Linked DNA regions of Stegostoma tigrinum. The protein of the gene in region 1 purifies or fractionates together with the protein of each later gene. This does not show direct contact. Links are inferred from orthologs where the notes say so. Each region holds a gene or a part of one and is shown on either strand. Other genes may lie near its edges. The genes, in order: gli2a and sufu.

Evidence for each region.
Region 2: the proteins of gli2a (region 1) and sufu purify together in Homo sapiens (affinity purification with mass spectrometry; 3 studies listed by BioGRID and IntAct, with this or other methods). This does not show direct contact. The link is inferred for Stegostoma tigrinum from reciprocal best matches to the Homo sapiens genes GLI2 and SUFU.

Annotation. Positions count from the first base shown.
Region 1 is NC_081360.1:88,740,009-88,750,792, reverse strand, and holds the start of gli2a (zinc finger protein GLI2a), read left to right. Parts: upstream 1-6,151; 5' UTR 6,152-6,595; intron 6,596-10,784. UniProt on the Homo sapiens protein: Functions as a transcription regulator in the hedgehog (Hh) pathway. Functions as a transcriptional activator. May also function as transcriptional repressor. Requires STK36 for full transcriptional activator activity.
Region 2 is NC_081373.1:7,323,056-7,333,596, forward strand, and holds the start of sufu (suppressor of fused homolog), read left to right. Parts: upstream 1-5,972; 5' UTR 5,973-6,155; coding exon 6,156-6,292; intron 6,293-10,541. UniProt on the Homo sapiens protein: Negative regulator in the hedgehog/smoothened signaling pathway. Down-regulates GLI1-mediated transactivation of target genes. Down-regulates GLI2-mediated transactivation of target genes. Part of a corepressor complex that acts on DNA-bound GLI1.

The DNA.
Region 1 (10,784 bases):
AACTCGCCATTTTCTCTAGTAGAACTAGTTATGTTCTTATTTAACAAAGAAATTGGATGTTAATTTAACGCGAGTTGGACACCCAGGTTGAGATATTTGTGTTTTTTGTTGCCAAGCAAGTTCCTGGAGGCAGAAGTTCCTCCAACATCTGTTAATGAAATCCATACAATCTCCGCCTTAGTTAGGGGATGAGGTAACACAGAATGGCACGACCACACTTGCAAAGTATGAAATATGAGTTTTCCCAGTCAAAGTATTAATAAGCATTCACTCTGGCAGCCGTATGGTTGTAACATTTTGGAAATAGATCATTTTTATTTTTAATTTTATCTGTTTTGACAGTTGCTGGGAGGGATTGATGCATGCCTGTGGAATTTTTGTTTTTCTTTAATTCCTAAGGTTCTGTATCTTTTTTATTTATTCAGTCAAAACCAGAAGAAGAAACAAATGCACAGCAGCAGATAAAACAGTGAAGAAGAACAGACAAGTGCAGACGAAATAAAAACTAGAAACAACTTGGAAGAGTATTTTGTACGGGTAACGTTAAGTGAGAAATTAAAAGAAGGATACGATGAAGTAATCAAGAAAAGAGAGGAAAGCAGAAATGTAGGATAAAGGAAACTGAATGGGAGAATTGTGCAGTTAAATTTCAACAAGTTGAGACTAAATTTTCCACTATCATTGAATGAATACATCTCTAGGATATCAATGCCAATACTAAGACGGTATATTTCAACCTTCATAACATGGCTCGACTCTGCTTCTGTTTCAGTTCATCTGCTGCTGAAAGCCTTCATACATGCCATTGTTCCCTCTATACGTGACTACTCAACATCCATTCCTTGCTGCTGATCCTGCATAAACTGAAGGTCATCTTAAATTCTGCCAACTGTAACTTTATTTGAACCAAGTTCTATTCACCTATCACCCCTATGCTGGCAGGTTTCCAGTTAAACTTGCTTTTAAAATTCTTAACCTCATTTAGAAATCTGCTCCTGTCATTATTATCTGTCCTCGCTGTTGGTGAAATCGGTATTTGCCACTTTTTAGTTCTTACTCCCCACTTTGGCCCTGTGCATTGAATTGCTCAAATAACAGCTGTATTGTCCACACTGTCACAAAACATGGACTTCAATCTGGTACTTCTTTGTTTTTCATTCAAAGAATCTGGTGTCATTGAGTAGGCCAACATTTATTGCTGATCTCTAATTCTCCTTAATGAAGTGGTGGTGAGCTGTCTTCTTAAACCACTACAGTTCATGTGGTGGCAGTACAGCCACAGTGCTGCTAGAAAGGGAGCTCCAGGAATTTTTCCCAGAGACTCTGAAGGGACTGTGACATAGTTCCACGTCCAAATAGTGAGAGGGTTGGTATTGAACTTGCAGATAGTGGTATTCCCTTGCAGCTGCCATGCTGAATTGCAGAAGTCATGGAAGTCTCTCGGTTTTGAAAGAGAGCATTCAGCTCACCAGTTCTTCAAATGAGCATCATTACCCAAAGCCAATCTATTGCTTTTTTCCCCAATATCCTTGCACATTATTTTTATTCAAAGGCCCTCTTGAATGAACCTGCTTCTTCCATGTGGTAATCTTGCAAATGGTAGAGATCATGGGTATGGAATGTGCTGTCTAAGAAGTCTTTGAAGAGCTGCTGCATTATATCTTGTAGATGGTACACACTGCTGCTACTATGCATCAGAAGTGGGGGGGAATTAAAATTGAAGTATTAGATGCCAGTCTAATTGACCGTTTTATCTTCAATGGTTTTGAGTGCTCTTGGAGCTGCACTCATCTAGGCCTGTGGTGAATTTTTCATCTTATTCCTGACTTGTGCCTTGTAGATAGAGGACAGTCTTTAAGGAGTGAGGATGGAATTACTTGCCACAGAATTATCTTCCTCTAATTTGCTCTTGTAGCCACAGTATTTATATGTGACATCCAAGAGGGCTTATGATGATTATTTAGATAGAAATAAAGAGTGTGTGTGGGGAGAAAGCCAGAGATTTGCACTAGGTAATGATGCTCTTGAGGAGTTAATGTAGACAGAATGGCCAAAAGGCCTCTTTATACATTGTAATAACTCTGCTTTGGCAATTATAAAGCCATTGAGTATCAAGGTTGATGACTGTACTCTGTCTTGTTGGATTTGGCCATGATCTAGCAGTCATGCAATGTGAATGCTACTTGCTACTTATCAGTCAAAACCAACATGTTGTGTAGGTTTTGTTGCATTTGTATATGGATTGGTTCAGTACCCAAGGAGTTGCAAATAGTACTGAATATGATGCAATCATCAGTGACCTTCCCCTACTATGATGAAGGGAAACTCACTGATGGAATAGATGTCACTGCTTGGGCTTAGAATCCTAACAAAGTCCTGCAGTGATGGCCTGTGGCTTCTGATCCACTGGATTCTCAGGACTAACAGAGAATTCCTACTGCCTGAAATATTAGACCATTGATTCTTCAGATGTTTGGCCACTCTCTGCTGGGAATGAACTCAGAAAATTTCAGTATGAGTTATTTTCCCACAGGAAAATAGGGAATATGCTCCAGAACATAGTCGCTAGGGATTTTTTAAATGGATTTGGTCAACATCTCTTTGCCAGATGAATGGTTTAAACTCCCTACGGAGAAAAATCAATAAGATATACATTGATTTTCTTCTTAAGTTACAATCATCAATAGCCAACTTTCAGGCTGAAGAATAGCAATTTGGACAATTTGAAAAATACAGGAAGAAAATGTTAACTTACACAGATATAGCATTTGAAAACTATCAGTATTCCTAATAGGTCTTAGTATAAAATGGTAAGTTTTATCTTAAGTAGTAGAATAAAGTGGATAATATCCAATAAGCCACCTTCTTCCATATTTCGCTCCTTATGTTCATTCTTTGTGACTTGTATCAGGAAAGATGTGCAACAAAAATACCCTCTAATCATTTGTAGTTGAAAGCCCATTGCACAATTTGGTTAGACAAAACATTAACTAAAGCAACTTCATTTACCTACTTATGGATGTAAAGGAATTAGAGGTAGTACGGTAATTGGACCAACTCTGCCATTGGATATTAGCCCCAAATCCAGATTCCTGCCTGCTCCTGATAAACTTTCATTATCTCATAGTTCAAGAATATGTCCACGTCAACCTTGAAATATTGTCAACCATTCAGCCTTCACAACTTTTGGAACTTTAGAATTTTGAGGGATAAGAACTTGTAAAGTGTAAAACCATCCTCGGTATAGTGCTGCATTAACATTTGAGTTTCAGGTATGTGCAAAAAATCCAATTACAATTGTGAAATGTTCAACGCAGAAGGCCACTGTTTATGTCACAATCTAAATCTGCCTGGAAATGATCAACTTCATTACTATTTTGAATACTTGTTTAAATCATAATGACTTAAATGCCACAATTAGCTTGGCTAATATCATAAAACAATGTGCTCAAAATGTGTATATACACACCTCACAATCTCATAATCAGCCAATGTGTGATATATTTACCAATTATAAAAATCACATCATCAACATCCCAGGAAATACCTTCAACCAGAAGCTTAACTGGATCAGCCATGTATGTATTGTAACTACAAAACCCAGGTTAGAGGCTGCGTAATCTGAGGTAAATAATTTGCATCCTGACTCTCCAGCTGTAAAGCACAAGTGAGAAGGATGATGAAATATTCCACTTGCCTAGACAAGAACAACACTCATGAAGATCAACACCATCCAGGACAAAATTAGTCTGCTTGATTGGCACCTATCCACTCACCCTCTCCAATGCTGATACGCCATGTCTGCACTGTGTACCATCTACAAGATGCAATGCAGCAAGGTTTCTGCTGCAGAACGTCCCAAATCTGTGATCTCTGCCACATCAAAGGAAAAGTTTAGCAAGCTAATGGAAATACCATTAACTTCAGGTTCACTGTCAAGCAACCCTGATTTGGAAATGTGGTGCTCATCATCACTGGGTTGAATTGAAACCTCAAAATATTGTTCGAGTATATTCACCACATGGACAGAGGCAATTCGAGAAGGACTCACCACCTTCTCTAAGCCAATTAGAGATGGGAAATAAATGCTGTTGTTCAAATTACACATAAAGGCCACATACTGTCAGAAGGGGCCAATTGTTTTCGATTGGACACAAGACATAAGACATTTCGATTACACTTAATAAGAGTATATTTATGGGTCTGTTCAATTTAGTTGACTAAATGTCAAATTACATGACTGTATTGTATAATCATTTGGTCTGATTGTATTATAGCTTTATAATATTCATAGATGATTACATTAGTTAATTTTAAATATAAATATTTAATTTTTCATATGCTGAATGATGTGACAGGATTTGAAAGGGTTGCCATCTGATTAAAACATAATTTATTGGTATATGATTTATAGTCGATATATAATTACAAAATATTTTAATTTCAGCTATTAGTGTACGCTGTATAATTAGATCAAGTGTAAGGATGAGATTGTATAGCTCTGAGCTTTGATGAGTTAATATTTTGTAAAGATTGTTTTATTAGCACATGACTGTAATGTGTTAGTCAGTTGGCAGAGTTCCATTCTGGGTCACACAGTTGGGGGTTGTCACCCTGTCCTTAAACTTGAGTGTATCATCTACCCTGACAGCTGAGTGCATCATGATGCTGATAGGTGTCCTTCAAATCTTGTCTGTACCTCCTATTTGGGAAAGATTGAAGAGGCCTGAATTCTTTACTCTTGAGAGAAGAAGGCTGTTGGTTGATTTTCCAGGCCTTTAAACTTATCAAAGAGTTTGAAAGGACAAACAAAATGACATTTCTGTTGCGTGAAAATCCAAAACTGGGGGTTATCAATATAGGATGATCACTAATAAATCCAATAAGAATTTCAAGAGGAACTTCACTTTTAAAAAGTGCTTTAGGGAAAAGTGAGTTAAATACCTGACAGTAAAGGAATAAGACGCTATGTGTAAAGACAAGCTGGAGGAGTTTCATAAACACAGGCAGAAACTAACTGGTTAGGTCAAATGTGTGCTATAACTTCTCGATAATTCGAATTATGTTCCTACAAAACCACAATCACTGGCATTAAAAGGAAAACAATAGTTGGAGGAGAATTAATGTTTTATTCTGAAAGTTGGTATATCAACTTAATGATGTTGACGAAAATAATGTTGCACGTTGCAGATTTAGGTTTTGTTGACAATGTTCCGAGCCATGAAAATCTGCAGTCTTGTAACCCGATATAAGACACGTTACCACACTATGGCTGTAGCTGTTTTAACAACCGCAATTGTTTATTAAAGACAAGCTGAGTAGCTATTGTTGGAAGCAAATACTCGAGGGGTTTGCGCTCTTCCTGCTCCTCCTCACTTAGCCAGCAGGTAGCAGGGGATGGCGCCTCCGCGTTCCTTCACAAGAGTTGGGTTCGTCCAGAATTGAATGGTAACGCCAGCAGAGGACAGCAAAGCACAAAAATAGGGGGAGCTATCAGTGCCAGTGAAATCAGACAGAACTGCTCGAAAAGCCAGAGTTCTGGGTTCACATACAGCCCTGTACAGTCCGACAATAAACGATCCTGAAGCGAAAACATTGTGTTTAGGCTTCTACACATCTAGTTGAGTCTGAATTGTAATAAATCATCACAATTATTTGATCTCGTCTTTTATTTTAATTGAGAAGTGGAGATTGGACTAAGTGTAAGGTTTCTCCTAAGTACCATAAAAGATGTAAATATAGTGTTAAAAATGTGTAGTACAAATTACAAAACGCAATGCTAGAATTTGGAATAATTTATTTTGGTCAGCATGCTTGCAAATTTTTTTTTAAAAATCGGCATTGCTTTTTTTTCATTACAAAGCAAGTTTGGTATTTGGAGAACGCAGATAGAAAAGACGGCGAGAAACATATACACAAACGAGTTGGATGGAGAAAAACTTTTGCCAAATCCATTCCTGCGTGTCTGAAAGTGCGTTTTTGGCAACAAAGCGCTTTGAGTAACTAACGTTGAGGACTCACCGGGGAGAAGGAGTGAGATAATCAGATAAGAGAGAGGGGAGGGGAGGGGGGACAGGAGTAAGTAATTCAGGGACTGCCTTTTCTGGAGCTGAAAACTGCGAACTGGTGAGGCAGAGGGAGGAAGAGAGAGAGAGAGAGAGAGAAAGTTTGTTGAATTGTCCACTCTCCTCCCTCTTTCTGCGCGTTGAGTCGAGAGGGGAAAGTTTTTTTTGCCCTCCTGTATCTTGTCTGAAGAATCGCAGTACAGACACGCCGGCAGCCGCCCCAACTCGCCAAACTCTGCGACTGAATTCATTCCTTTTATTCTGCAAAAAAAGAAAAATACACACGCTGAGAGAGACCGGCTCCCGGATTTCTTTGCTTTCAGATCTTTTGGAGAGCTTTAAAGCGTGGATTTTTCTTTGTTTTTGTTTGCAAAAAGCGTCCTATCGTTGATGATAACGGTTCCACGAGTTTTTTTTAAACAAATCTTCTGTATAAGTTTGTTTTTGTTTTGATATAGTTATTTCTTCCAGTTTGAAGCCTTTCAACAAATGATCAGATAATCAAAACAGAAGCTCTTCATTACAAACAGGTAACGTTTTGTATTTACCCCTCCTGTTTTTAGTTGAGAGAATGGTACCTCTGTGTTTACCGAAGACTGCATTGCTATTGTAATCATCATTTTTCAAAACTTTAGCGGTCCCTGTTTGGCTCGGCTGTGTGTTGGGAAGTTGGGGTAGTTGGAATTATGATTCACAGCAGACCGTGACTTTAGCAATCAAATGCCCTCAAAGTTTTCATTTTGCTTCAAAGCCCCATTGCCCCGTGTCGACTTTTTTTAAAATTGTATTTCTAACCCATTCCAGCTCCTGCCTCCTTTTGTCCCATTTTACCTTTTATGGAATTCCAAAAATGTTCTGCTTTTTGCAACCTGATCCCATTTTTTTTTCTCTCTGGATGAGTATTTGGTTAAGAGTCGGGCGCCAGTCTCATTACGGAGTTAAAGGGGAGAATCGGGGGAATTTGTGCGAGACCCAACCCAGAGTTTCCAGTGTGACTGTGTGCGTCTTGCGGGGGGATGGAGGGGAAAAAGTTGGACCGGCCAGTTTAGCAACTTTTTTTTGTTGTCATTGTCAGCCGAGTTCGTGCAGTTTTGTTTTCTCCGACAGTAATGGATGTTATGCATGGGATTCACTTGCTACCTTTGCATGTGTCATTTTTTTCTGAGCTTTTTAAGGAGTCCCGTGTTTACATAAAAGACTATTTTAGGGACCAAAGTGTGACAGTAAATGCTCTTTCTGCCAAACCCTACTAAACTCTCTGTAACTAGCGATGCAAAGACCACGGACAGAATGCAACTGGTTTTTTGTTTGCTGCATGAAGCACTTAGGAATTATTTCCCTCCACCAGTAAAATTATTTTAATGATGCATTTTCCCCAGTCTTGCCCTGGAATTAATTGCACGTTTTGGCACCACTCGCAATTAAGAAGCGCAAACCTATTTTAATTACACGTTTACTTTCACTGAGCGATCGTGGTGTGTTGCCTGACAGGAGTATATCGTTCTGACTCGTGGTAAAATTTGGTCCCTTTTCTTAAACAGTTCAGTTCAAATGAGATCAACTTTGCCACACTTAAGGTCAGAGTGGCTCTTAAAGGGATAGTGCTCCCGGGATATAACAAAAAGATGATGGTTGTGAGGTGTTACTTTTATGTAATGACTTTCAAAGCAGTTGTTGTAATTTTACACGCACAGGTCTTATATGTGTATATTCTATGTGGGTATGTGTGCTGACCAATAACGGCCTCTGTCCAGTTGGCAGAGTGATAATTGACACAACCCTTCAGTGCTATCTGAAATACACACATTGCTAAAATTCTTTGTGCTCCTCTGAGACCCGTATCACATCAATTATGGAGCCAATTTAATTGTACAAACACACCACGGCCAGAGCATTTGCTCTTAAAATACACCGGGAGAGTAGAAAACATTTTGGCTCACTCATGTAAAAGTTTTCTCCTCAGAAGTTTCCATTTCTGGGAACACTGAATCCTGAATTGGGTCCAACTTGCATTTCTCACTGGCACCAATTTGACCTGGTATAGACCATCTTTGGTTTCCAAAAATGCTTTGTGTGTGCATATGCAGGCAGCGCTCATTCTGCCCTGTAAGCTAAGCATTCCAGCCTCTAATGCTCTTTTAAGGATGATGCAGCTTTTAAAAGAGTTGAATTTATATTTACATCCACGTTATGAAACATTTTCAAAGTGAATACCTAGTCAGTCCTCAGTGGACGATGAAGTAATGTGTTCCTTCGCTAAGTATAGAAGCATTCTGAATAGATCTAATTGTTTGATTCACAGTTAAATTCTCATACTGTTTACTGTGTGCTGTCAGGTCATTTTCAAAATGGAATATAAGGTCGGATAACATGAAACATAAATTCAGACAAGTTGTTCAGATCAGCTGTGTTTTGTTAAAAGAGTCAGTTCATTGGAACTGGCTTAATTAAATGGTGTTCATTGCTTACAATGTCATTAAAGCATCAGCGTCTTGAAAATGACCTTTGATACAAATGTTTACTCCTGTTTACAATTTGTGGTGTGTTTTTAAAAACAGTTTATGGTGTATCTGAAGCAATTTGCGTGACTGATGCTTCTTAGTGCCACAGAAGCATTTTAAATAATGGTAGATTCGACATGTGGAAACATTGGTTTAATAATCTTGCACGTTTGCTGGAGCTCAAGTTTTTTTTCCAATAATGTAGATGTAGCAGTAAGCAAGCCTCTGGAAAAGAAAATCATCCTCTAGCTCTCTCACTTGATCTGCAGCACTGTTCTGTAATTTTAAATACTGAACTCGTCTGGCAGTTACTTTTTAAGTTTTTGCTCCTGGCAAGTAAAAAGAGGCTACCACAGAAGTTGAGCTCAGTTTACACAGTGGCACGCTTATATATCTATAAGATGTACACCCAAGTGCCCTTGATACTCTTGAATGTACTACTTTACAGTGAACGATTGACGCAGTGATAAGGTAGAACAGTAGGTGTATCATACCAATGATTGTGATTTTGAATGAACACATCATTATGCTGTGCTAATAGTAGCAGAATGGATACAAGTTTTGTGGGCACTTGGAGCTGTATTACGTAGAGATCTTATGATGAAAAGCATGGGAAACCCCACACATATTAACTTCCTTAAAAGCCCTCCCGATCTGGGTGCATATACGACACCCAGTGCTGACAACACCATTTAGATGGCATTCTACTGGTCACTTATTTACTGCAGTCAGACCACAAGAACAAAGTAAATAGGAGAAGGAGGAGGCCATTCAGCCTGTCAAAACTGATATAACAATCAAATAGATCACACTGATCTTCTACCTCAATGCCATTATTCTGCACTGTCCTTACATCTCTCAATATCCCAGAGTCATAGACTCATAGACATGTACAGCACAGAAACAGACCCTTCGGTCTCACTCGCCCATGCTGGTTAGATACTAAAGTAGTCTAGTACCATTTGCCGGCGTTGGGCCCATATCGCTCTAAATCCTTCCTATTCATGCATTCTTCCAGATGTCTTTTAAATGTCGTAATTGTACCAGACTCCAGCACTTCATCTGGCAGTTCATTTAATACATACAGCACTGTTTGCATGAAAATGTTGCCCCTTAGGTCTCTTTAATATCTTTCCCTTCTTATCTTAAACTTATGTCTTTTAGGTTTGGACTCCCTTACCCTGGAAAAAGACCTCAGCTATTCACCCTGCCCATGCCCCACATGATTTTATAAAGCTCTATAGGTTCATCCCTCAGGCTGCAATGTTGTCTTTAATATCTAGGAATGGATTAAACTCCAACTTGAACACCTCAATGACTGGACATCCCAGCCCTGTGGCCAAGAATTCCAAAGGTTCACCATCTGCAGAAGCTATTTTTCCTCACCTCAGTTTTAAATGGCCTGTCTCTTGCAGTGTTCCTGGAACTCGTAATGATTATTACTGTTGGACTATTCTGTAGTTGATGGATCATGCTGAAGGTCATAAAATAGCTCTTCAGATTGTCTTGCATTGCCCTTTTTAAGGCGAATGTTAACTGCTAGCGCAGTGCCCCACAAAATGCAGCACCACAGAATGTGCAGTGTGCCTCTTGCTAAGTTAATGCCACAAGTTAACTGAAAAGCTACAGCAATATTTGCTCCAAGTTTTCACACCACTTAGTGTCTTATCAATATGTGGAGCCTCTGTCAGTGGATTGCAGTTTCAGATGCAGCCTTCTGTGAAATCTGTTAAAATTTGTTTCGTAAATCTGAGCAGCAGGCTTTGCATCTACTGGTTCAGTGAAATCTTTCAGTTATTTTGCTTTCAGTTTTTCGGTCATTCTTCAATTCTGATTAAATTTTGTTGTTGTGCACAGATGCCCTAGCCATGGTGACATAGTTACCGACACTGGCACTATTGATTTAGTAGCTTGCGCTCTAAATAATTATACAAAAAGATTGCTAATCTGATAAAGTAATTTGCAGGATAGTTTAGCAATTGTTAGTGTCCCTTACCACTAGCTTTGGAAGAAATCATTATGTATCTATGCGACTTTATCCACATAACATTGATGATCAAACAAAATTTTCAATCTTTATATAAACACATCTTTCTGGCTTTAGAAATTGTTAAATACATCACCATTTTTTGATTCTAAAGAGTCATACAACATGGAAACAGACCCTTCAGCCCAACTCATCCATGCAGAACAAGTTTCCCAAACTAAACTAGTCTCA
Region 2 (10,541 bases), on another chromosome or scaffold:
TCTGGCCCACAGTTATTGACACTGGATTGTGCCTGAGAGTCCTTACTCGTGGTCTAGTGGTTTTCAATCAGTGTGCTGCAACAAAGTGAGAAGTGCATGACAAAATTTTCAGGAAGTAGCATTGCTTTACCTGAGTGTTGAGGCTGTGTACATAGCTTCTGATCTCTTCCAGAGTTTGGGTGTCTATTATTGAAGGCAATATGTGCTGACACTACGTGCCCCTATCAATTGCACATGCACAAGCCTCCAGAGCTGTGCATGCGTAGACTCATGTGACATGAAACAGTGCGTGTTGCCATGGAATTGTTTGTCTCATTGAAGTGTGCTTTGATACTGCAATGGTTGGGAACTGCTGCCTTACAGTATCAGTGTACTTTGTTGATTTCTGTGGCCTGACTTGAAGTTTTGTACATCAGATTTGTTCACTTTAGCCTTGTGTGTATAACCATTTCCAATAATAAGGTATTGTATTTGTCACAAATAAGAAAAGTAAAAGTTGTTCAAGATAAGTCTTCTGGTTGCCAGAATACCATGATCAGTGAATTTCTTGGACCAGAAGCAGTTACCAAACAGTAAAAAAAGACTTGCACTTATATTTTTGCATTTTCACATCCAACAGACCAGAAGCAATGTTTTCATTCTGCATTTGAGAAGGTTTTATTATTTTTAATACTAATAATTAGATGTTAATATGGAAGGCTAATCAGGAAGGCTAATGCAATATTGGCACTTATTTTTGAGGGGTTTGGATTATAAGCATAGGGAAGTCTTACTGCAACTGTACAATGTGCTGATGAGATGACATCTGGAGTACTGACAGGGGAGTTCAAAACTAGAGGGCATAGGCTTCAGGTGAAACGGAAAGGTTCAAGAGGGACCTAAGGGCAACATTTTCACGCAGAGAGTAGTGTATGTATGGAACAGCTGTCAGAGGAAATGGTGGAGACTGGTACAATTACAACATTTAAAAGGCATCTGGATGGGTACATGAATAGGAAGGGTTTAAAGGGACATGTTTCAAATGCTGGCAGGTGGGACTAGATGAATTTAGGATATCTGGTGGCAGGGATGAGTTGGTCTGAAGAATCTGTTTCCATGCTGTACAGCTCTATAACTCTACTGTGAGCAGTTTTGATCCCCTTATTTAAGGAAAGATATTATCTCAATAGACACAGTTCAGAGATGGTTCACTAGGATGATCCCTGGTATCGAGGGTTTGTCTGATGGGCAAAGGCTAAATAGGTTGGGAATCAATTAATTGGAATTTAGAAGAATGAGAGGTGATCTCATTGAAACATACAGCAAGCTCAAGGGGTTTGATTGGGTAAAGGCTGAGAGGATGTTTCCCCTCATGGGAGGCTCTAGGACCAGAGGATATATTCTCAGAATAAAGGGGTGTCAATTCAAAACTGAGATGAAGAGGAATTTTCTTCTCTCAGAGTTGTGGGAGTTTGGAATTCCTTGCCGGGACAGAGCATTTGTGTATATTTGAGGCTGAGACAGATAAATTCTTGATTGATAAGGGAATTAAAGGTCACGATAAGATATAGGAAAGTGGATATGAGGAATGTTCAATCAGCCATAATTCTATTGAATGATAGAGCAAGCTCAGAGGGGCCAAATCGCTATTCTTGTTCCTATTTCTTATAATCTTATTATGATCTTATGGAAACTGTCATGCATTGTTAAACGTCAAGAACCTATCAGTTTGCATATAGGCAAGTTATTTGGATTGTGCCCAAATCAGGAAGTGAATGCTTTGTTGTTAGTGTTAATCTGTCTTTACATGGTTACAATGTCAATGACGCTGAGGTATGAATACTCATCAACTATGTTATTTAGAACTGTATCTTTGAAAATGATTGTGAGCTGAAATACGATGCTGTTTTAGCACAATATGCTTCATTCAGTTAGACTTAGATTCCACAATTAGTATTTGAATTAGAAATTGCATTATTCATGTGCAAACATCACAGAATGCAGCATGGTAAACATAAGATTGTTTCCTCTGAACAATTTTCAGACCAATTCTGAATAAAAAGTACTGGAACATATAATTGTTTTCTTCAGTTCTGGTACCATCACCAACTTTGTATTGGTGCTTCTGTGTTTCATTTTCATTCATGGAATTCATAGGCCATCAATCATCCATGATTGTCCGAAAGGTGGTGATGAGCTGCCTCTTTAAACAGGTGCAGTCATAGAGAAATACAGCATAGAAACAGATTTTTTGGTCCAACTTGTCCATGCTTACCAAGTTTCCAAAACTATACCAGTCCCATTTGCTTGTGTTTGGCTCCTTTCCACTTATGTACCTGCCCAAATGTCTTTTAAATGTTGTAACTGTACCTGCGTCTACCACTACCTTTGGCCGTTTATTCCACATATGAATCACTCTCTGTTCAAAAAAGTTGCCCCTCATGTCCTTTTTAAATCTTTCTCCTCCCATCTTCAAAATATGCACCCTGGTCTTGAACTCCCCCCAACCCTAGGGAAAAGACCTTTGCTATACACCTTATCTATTGTCCTCATGATTTTATAAATGTCTAAAAGGTCATCCCTCAACCTCCCATGCTCCAGTGAAAAATGTCCCAGTCTATCCAGCATCACCTCACAACTCAAGCCTTCCAGTCCTGGTAACATCCTTAGAATAGAATCAAAGAAGAGAATCCCTACAGTATGGAAACAGGCCCTTTGGCCCATCTAGTCCACACCGGCCATCAGAGCATCTCATCCAGACCCATCTCCCACGTAATCTATACATCCCAAAACACTACAGACAATTTAGCATAGCCAATCCACCTAATCTGCACATTTTTGGAACGTGGGAGGAAAGCGGAGTACCCGGAGGAAACCCACGCAGAGACAGGGAGGATGTACAAACTCCACACAGACAGTTGCCCGAGGGTGGAATCGAATCCAGGTCCCTGGTGCTGTGAGGTAGTGCTAAACACTGAGCCACTGTGCCGCCCAATAGTTGGCAGCAGTGGGATATCCTTGTAAATCTTCTATGCACCCTCTCCAATTTAACAATATTCTTCCTATAGCAGGGTTACTAGAACTGTACACAGTATTCCAAAAGTGGCCTCATCAACATCCTTTACTACCGCAATATGACGTCTCACCGCCTATACTCAATGGTCTGAGCAATGAAACAGGCATGCCAAATGTCTTCTTTACATCCTGTTGCAACTTTCAAACAACTAGTACCTGAACTCCTAGGTGTCTCTGTTTGAAAGCACCTAACCAGGGCCCTATCATTAACTGATAACCAAGTGTGGAGCTGGATGAACACAGCAGGCCAAGCAGCAGCAGTTCCCATTATCTCTAAGTCCTGCCCTTATTTGCCTTACAAGAATGAAATACCTTATAATTATGTAAATTAGACTCCAGCTGCCACTCCTGGGCCCATTGGTCCATTTGATCAAGACCTCTTTGTCATCTTAGATAACCTTCTTCACTGTCGACCATACCACCAACATTGGTGTCAGCCACAGACTTATTAACCATGCTTCCTAAATTCCCATCCAAATTGTTTATATAAATGACATTCACTAGTAGACTAATCACTGATCCCTGCAGAACACCGCTGGTCATAGGCCTCCAGTCCGAAAAAAAAATACCCTCCTCCATCACCCTCTATCTCCTACTGTCAAGCCAATTTTGTACTTAATTGACAAGCTCTCCCTGAATCCCATGTGATCTAACTAAACTGACCAGTCTACCATGAAGAACATTGTCAAAGGCTTTTGGCACCGCAATAGTGAAGGAATAGCGATGCAGTTCCAAGTCTGGATGGTATGTGGCTTGGTGAGAAACTTGTGGGTGGTTGCGTTCTAATGCATCTGCTGCCCCTGTCCTTCTGTATGGTAGAGGTCACAAGTTTGGTAGCTGCTGTCAAAAAAATTTTGGGTGAGTTCTGCACATCTTGTAGATGCTACACACCGTTGCCACTGTGTTTCTGTGGTGAAGAGAAAGAATGCAGAAGGTGATGGGTTTAGTGCCAATCAAGTGGGGTGTTTCATGGAATCCCTACATTGCAGAAAGAGGCCATTTGGCCCATTGAGTCTGCACCACCACCCGAAGAGCATCCCATCAGACCCTCCCTATCCCTGTCATCCCACATCTACCACGGCTCATAACCCCCCTAGCCTGGGCACCCGTGGATACCACATGACAATTTAAAATAGCCAATCCACATAACCTGCACTTCTTTGCAATGTGGAAACAAACCGGAGCACCAGAGGAAATCCATGCAGACACGGGAAGAACGTGCAAACTCCACACAGACAGTTACCCAAGGATGGATTCAAACCTGAGATCCTGGTGCTATAAGGTAGCAGTGCTTACCACTGAGCCACTGTGTCCTGGTATTTATTTGTAAATATGTTCAATTATTATTTTTATCATGAACACGATGGTCAGTCTACTGTCTTTCAGAATTGACAGCATAACTAAAATGGCTTGGATTTTGTGGTGAGGCAAAGCAACAGGTAAAGTGAGATAGAATCATTAGGGAGAGGGCAAGAGTGCTTAAGGAGCATTGTGGAGGGTTAGACAAGAAGCATTAGCAGCAGGGCAAGGGGCAGCGAGAGAGAGAGAGAGACAGTGTAAGTGTGGGAAGGAGGGTATAGTAGGACAATGTCAGGAACAAGATAACGGGTAGAGTGAGAGAAACAGGAATGCAGTTAATGGTAAAGGGGACAACTAGCATGAGGGACAAATGAAGCTTAGCACCTGTACTGTGAAGGGGTTGGTTGGCAGCAATGAACAGTTGAGCACAGGCAACATGAGGGACAGGAATTGATTGGGAACGAGGGGTAGGGGAATCATTGGCAGTGCAACAGACAAGCATTCAATTGGCAGCAGCAGCGTGATGGGCAGTGATTTAGGAGCATGATGGACAGAGGACTGTTGAGAGCACAAGGGGAGGACATGGGGGGGGCAGTTGGCAATGTGAGGGGATGTCAGGGGACAGTCGGCAGTGTGAGGGGAAGACATGGGGGAGGGAAGCAATCGGCAGTGTGAAGGGAAAACATGGGGAAGGGTGGCAGTTGGCAATGTGAGGGGAGGACTTGGAGGGCAGTTGGCAGTGTGATGGGAGGACATGGGGGCAGTTGGCAATGTGAGGTGAGGACATGGGGGGCAGTTGGCAGTGTGACGGGAGGACATGGGGAAGGGTGGCAGTGTGACGGGAGGACATGGGGAAGGGTGGCAGTTGGCAGTGTGAGGGGAGGACATAGGGGGAAGTTGGCAGTGTGAGGGGAGGCCATGGGGGAAGGGGCAGTTGGCAGTGTGAGGGGAGGACATAGGAGGAAGTTGGCAGTGTGAGGGGAGGCCATGGGGGAAGGGGCAGTTGGCAGTGTGATGGGAGAACATGGGGGCAGTTGGCAATGTGAGGGGAGGACATGGGGGCAGTTGGCAATGTGAGGTGAGGACATGGGGGGCAGTTGGCAGTGTGACGGGAGGACATGGGGAAGGGTGGCAGTTGGCAGTGTGAGGGGAGGACATAGGGGGAAGTTGGCAGTGTGAGGGGAGGCCATGGGGGAAGGGGCAGTTGGCAGTGTGAGGGGAGGACATGGGGGAAGGGGCAGTTGGCAGTGTGAGGGGAGGACATGGGGGGGCAGCTGGCAATGTGAGGAGAGGACATCGAGGGCAGCTGGCAGTGTGAGGGGGGGAACATGGGGGAAGGGGCAGTTGGCAGTGTGAGGGGAGGACATGGGGAAGGGTGGCAGTTGGCAGTGTGAGGGGAGGACATGGGGGGGCAGCTGGCAATGTGAGGAGAGGACATCGAGGGCAGCTGGCAGTGTGAGGGGGGGAACATGGGGGAAGGGGCAGTTGGCAGCGTGAGGGGAGGACATGGGGAAGGGCGGCAGGTGGCAGCCGCAGCGGCGCGAGCGGGCGGCGGTTACGGAGCGAATCAGCGCGAGCGCGGGCGGGTGGGGGAGGTGGAGGAGGGGGGGGAAGGGAGGTGAGAGCGGGGACGGCTTGGCCCGGAACGGAAGGACGGGTCGGCTGACGAGTTTGACGCTTCGTTGGGGTCGAGCGCGGTGGACGCCCGAATTCCAGAGAGAGAGAGAGAGACAGGATCCACCTTCAGGCCGAGGGACACCCACAACATTCCCGGGTAGACCGGCGCTGGGACAGCCGAGCCGATGGAGGAGTTGCGGCCTAGCGGCCCCGGCATTGCGGCGCTCCTGCCTCCGGGTTTGCACGCTATCTATCAGGAGTGCAGACGACTTTACTCGGACCAGCCGAACCCACTGCAGGTCACCGCCATCGTAAAGTACTGGTAAGTCCCCGACTCCTGCGCTCTCTCCTCACCGGTTGGTCTCCAGCCCGTTTCCCGAGGCCCCATGCCCGAGAACGATTAACTTAGTGTAAATCAAGGCAATAAAACGGTTTCCATTTGAGGAATATAAACGCACACTTTTTCTCTGCAATGTTTAAAGTTCAATTTTCCCCTCCCTCACTTTTCAAAAAGTTTATGGCAGCTTCGGGGAAAAGAATGTTTTCATTATTTTGTGTTTTGATGATGGGAGTTGGCGCTATACTGTTTACCTTTCCAAATTCAGAAAATACATTCTGTACCGATATCATCTGTTTAACCCTTTTTGCAGAACTGGATCTACCATCCTACCTAAGGCAAACTATAAATAAACAACTGCAGTTTTTACATAAGTATCTGGAGCTTGCTATGCACGTCGTTGTGGAAGAACTTTTGTTTTTATCATTTGAGTTGATTTCAACGAGAAATGGTCTAATAAACAAGGTACAAAAAGGGGTAACAATTTTTGTCTTTTCTAGTCAATTTTTCCACAACAAAAAACGGTAGCCAGCAAACGCCTTTTTATCATCAGCACATAGGCAAATCCAATCATTTTCTCTAATTCCAAAAGTAAACCATCCTTTGAGAATTTTCAACTTGAACTGGTAAAACTATTAGTAATTTTGCTGCAGTTTTTAAAAAAAATGCAGAATACATAGTCAAAATTCAACCTGCTTAAGAATATTTGACTGAACACCTTTTTATAATGTGTGGTAGAAATATTGATCCGTTAACAAACGACTAAGAATAAATTGAGATTTTATGAAAGTTGATTTAGAATTTTAAACTGTCATGTATTTTCATTGACAGTGTGAATTTCAAATATTAGTTAAAAACCAATTTGTACTATGTTACCATAAATTAGTTGTCCTCTGCTGAGTATCATTCAGCACTTGTGAACTTGATGAAAGGAGAAGTTTTGATTTATTTCAGTAGCTATGCATCTAATGTAGGGTTCACTTGTGGTTTTATGTTTGGGACATATTTCCCTATACAGATCAAGGATGGTCTATCCATTGAATGATGGATTTGGATCTCTTGAGGCATTTAATTTTGAATGTTATTGTTTCCATATGCTAGGATATCCTACACAGCATGTGTCCTATTCTGTAGTTTTGGGTAGTCTTGTCTTTTTATGCTGGCCTATAAATTTATTCAAAAAATGTTGGCAAGTTTGATTATTTTGGAAAATAACTATTGAATGTATAAAGGGAAATTGTAAAGGACGATTCTAACTTTTGACCTCTTTGTACACAAATCTACCTAAATTTGCTTTCTATCTGACTGTCTTCTTATTGTTGGTACTTGCTTTGTCTTTATCTTTAGTGTCCTTTCTCTCTAATCTCAAGGCCTAACTACCTGATACAGCACAGATCATGAATTCTGTTAGATTTTATGGGAAGTTACATGATGGTAAACAATGACTGCATGATAACTGGTGAGGAAGAAATTTGTAGAGATCCACAAACTCCCCAGTGAATATAACTTTCTCGAGCCCCTCCTCCTTCAAGTTTCAAGACTCCTTGTAGAAATATCTGTATCATCTATAACTGGGTGAGGTGCCTGATGGCAGGAGGGTGGCTAATATTGGACCTTTGTGTAAGATGGGTTGTAAGGAGAAACTGGGGAGCTGTAGACCTGAGAGTCTGATTTCACTTGTAGGTAAATTGTTGGAGGTGATTATAAAAGATAGGATTTATGGACATTTAGAGAGGCAAAAATTGATAAGTCAAAGTCAGCATGGTTTTGTGTGAGGAAAATCATGTCTCACAAACTTGACTGAGTTTTTTGAAAAAAGTTACTAAAAGGGTTGACAGAGGAGCAGACGTTTATTTGGATTTTAGTAAAGCCTTTGACAAGGTTCTACATAGTAAACTAAATAGTAAAGTTAGGTCACATGGGAATCTTGGTGACCTTGCCAATTGGCTACATAATTGGCTTAATGGAAGGAGACAGAATAATGGTGGAACGTTGCTTTTTGGGCCGGAGGCCTGTGACCGACGGTGTTCCGCAGGGGTCGGTTATGAGTCCTGTTTTGTTTGTCATTTATATAAATGATTGGCTGAGATTATAGAAGGCATGGTTAGTAAGTTTGTGGATGACACCAAAGTTGTTGGCGTCGTAGGCAGTGAAGAGGGCTTTCTGCAGATTACGGAGGGGTCTTTATCAAATGGGTCAATGGGCTGAAAAATGGATAAGTACAAGGTGTTGCATTTTGGTGCAGCTGACAAGGCTAGGGCTTATACAGTTAATAGTAGGGCCTTGGGTGGTGTTGTAGAACAGGAGGACCTAGGAGTCCAGATATACAAATCTTTAGAGTTGTGTCACACACAGACAGGATGGTTAAAAAAGTGTTTGGCACACATGCCTTCATTGCTTGGTCCTTAGTGTATAGGAGTTGGGACATTATGTTGAGATTGTACAGGACGTTGGTGAGGCTTCTTCTGGAATAGAGTGTCCGGTTCTGATTGCCCAGTTATAGGAAGGATATTATCAATCTGGAGAGGGTTCAGAAGGTATTCAGCAGGATATACGAGGTATGAAAGGTTTGAGTTATAAGGAAATGCTGGATAGACTGGGACTTTTTTTTTCCACTGGAGTTTAGGAGGTTGAGAAGTGACCTGATAGAAGATTTTATAAAATAAAGAAAGGTCTATTTAAAGTCTTTGTAAGATTTGTAACTCGGGTTGTGGATGATGATGTAGACTTGCTGAGCTGGTGTGTTTGGTTGCAGACATTTTGAAACTTTGCTAGGTAACATGGCCAGTGTGCTACTGTTGAAGAAGAAACATCTGCAATCAAACTAAAATAACAAATTGTGGAGCTGGATAAACACAGCAGGCCAAGCAGCATCTCGGGAGCACAAAAGCTGACGTTTCGGGCCTAGACCCTTCATCAGAGAGGGGGATGGGGAGAGGGTTCTGGAATAAATAGGGAGAGAGGGGGAGGCAGAGCGAAGATGGAGAGAAGCGGAGAGTATAGGTGGGGAGGTAGGGAGGGCATAGGTCAGTCCAGGGAAGATGGACAGGTCAAGGAGGTGGGATGAGGTTAGTAGGTAGGAGATGGTGGTGCGGCTTGAGATGGGAGGAAGAGATGGGTGAGAGGAAGAACAGGTTAGGGAGGCAGAGACAGGCTGGGCTAGTTTTGGGATGCAGTTGGGGGAGGGGATGAGCTGGGCTGGTTTTGGGATGCGGTGGGGCAAGGGGCGATTTTGAAGCTGGTGAAGTCCACATTGATACCATTGGGCTGCAGGGTTCCCAAGCGGAATATGAGTTACTGTTCCTGCAACCTTCGGGTGGCATCCTTGTGGCACTGCAAGACACCCATGATGGACATGTCGTCTGAAGAATGGGAGGGGGAGTTAAAATGGTTTGCGACTGGGAGGTGCCGCTATTTCTTGCGAACCGAGCGGAGGTGTTCTGCAAAGCGGTCCCCAAGCTTCCGCTTGGTTTCCCCAATGTAGAGGAAGCCACACCAGGTGCAATGGATACAGTATACCACATTGGCAGATGTGCCGGTGAACTTCTGCTTAATGTGGAAAGTCATCTTGGGGCCTGGGATGGGGGTGAGGGAGGCGGTGTGGGGGCAAGTGTAGCACTTCCTGCGGTTGCAGGGGAAGGTGTTGTGGGGTTGGAGGGGAGTGTGGAGCGAACAAGGGAGTCACGGAGAGAGTGGTCTCTCTGGAAGGCAGACAAGGGTGGGGATGGAAAAATGGCTTGGGTGGTGGGTTCAGATTGTAGATGGCGGAAGTGTCGGAGGATGATGCGTTGTATCCGGAAGTTGGTGGGGTGGTGTGTGAGAACGAGGGGGATCCTCTTTTGGCGGTTGTGGCGGGGTCGGGGTGTGAGGGATGTGTTGCGGGAAATGCGGGAGACGCGGTCAAGGGTGTTCTCGACCACTGCCGGGGGAAAGTTGCAGGCTTTGAAGAGCTTGGACATCTGGGATGTGCGGGAGTGGAATGCCTCATCCTGGGAACAGATGCAGCGGAGGCGGAGGAATTGGAAATAGGGAATGGAATTAAACTCGCTGGCTTGGCGAACAAGTCTACAACCTAATGAAAGATACAGTTAGAGTTGATAGTAGTTGTCTTTTCCCTAAGTTGGGGGATTTCAAGACTGTGGGCCCATCTCTAAAGTGAGAGGAGGAAGGTTTAAAAAAGACAGCAGGTAAATTTTTTTAACACAGTAGGTGGTTCCTGTGTGAAATGAACTTC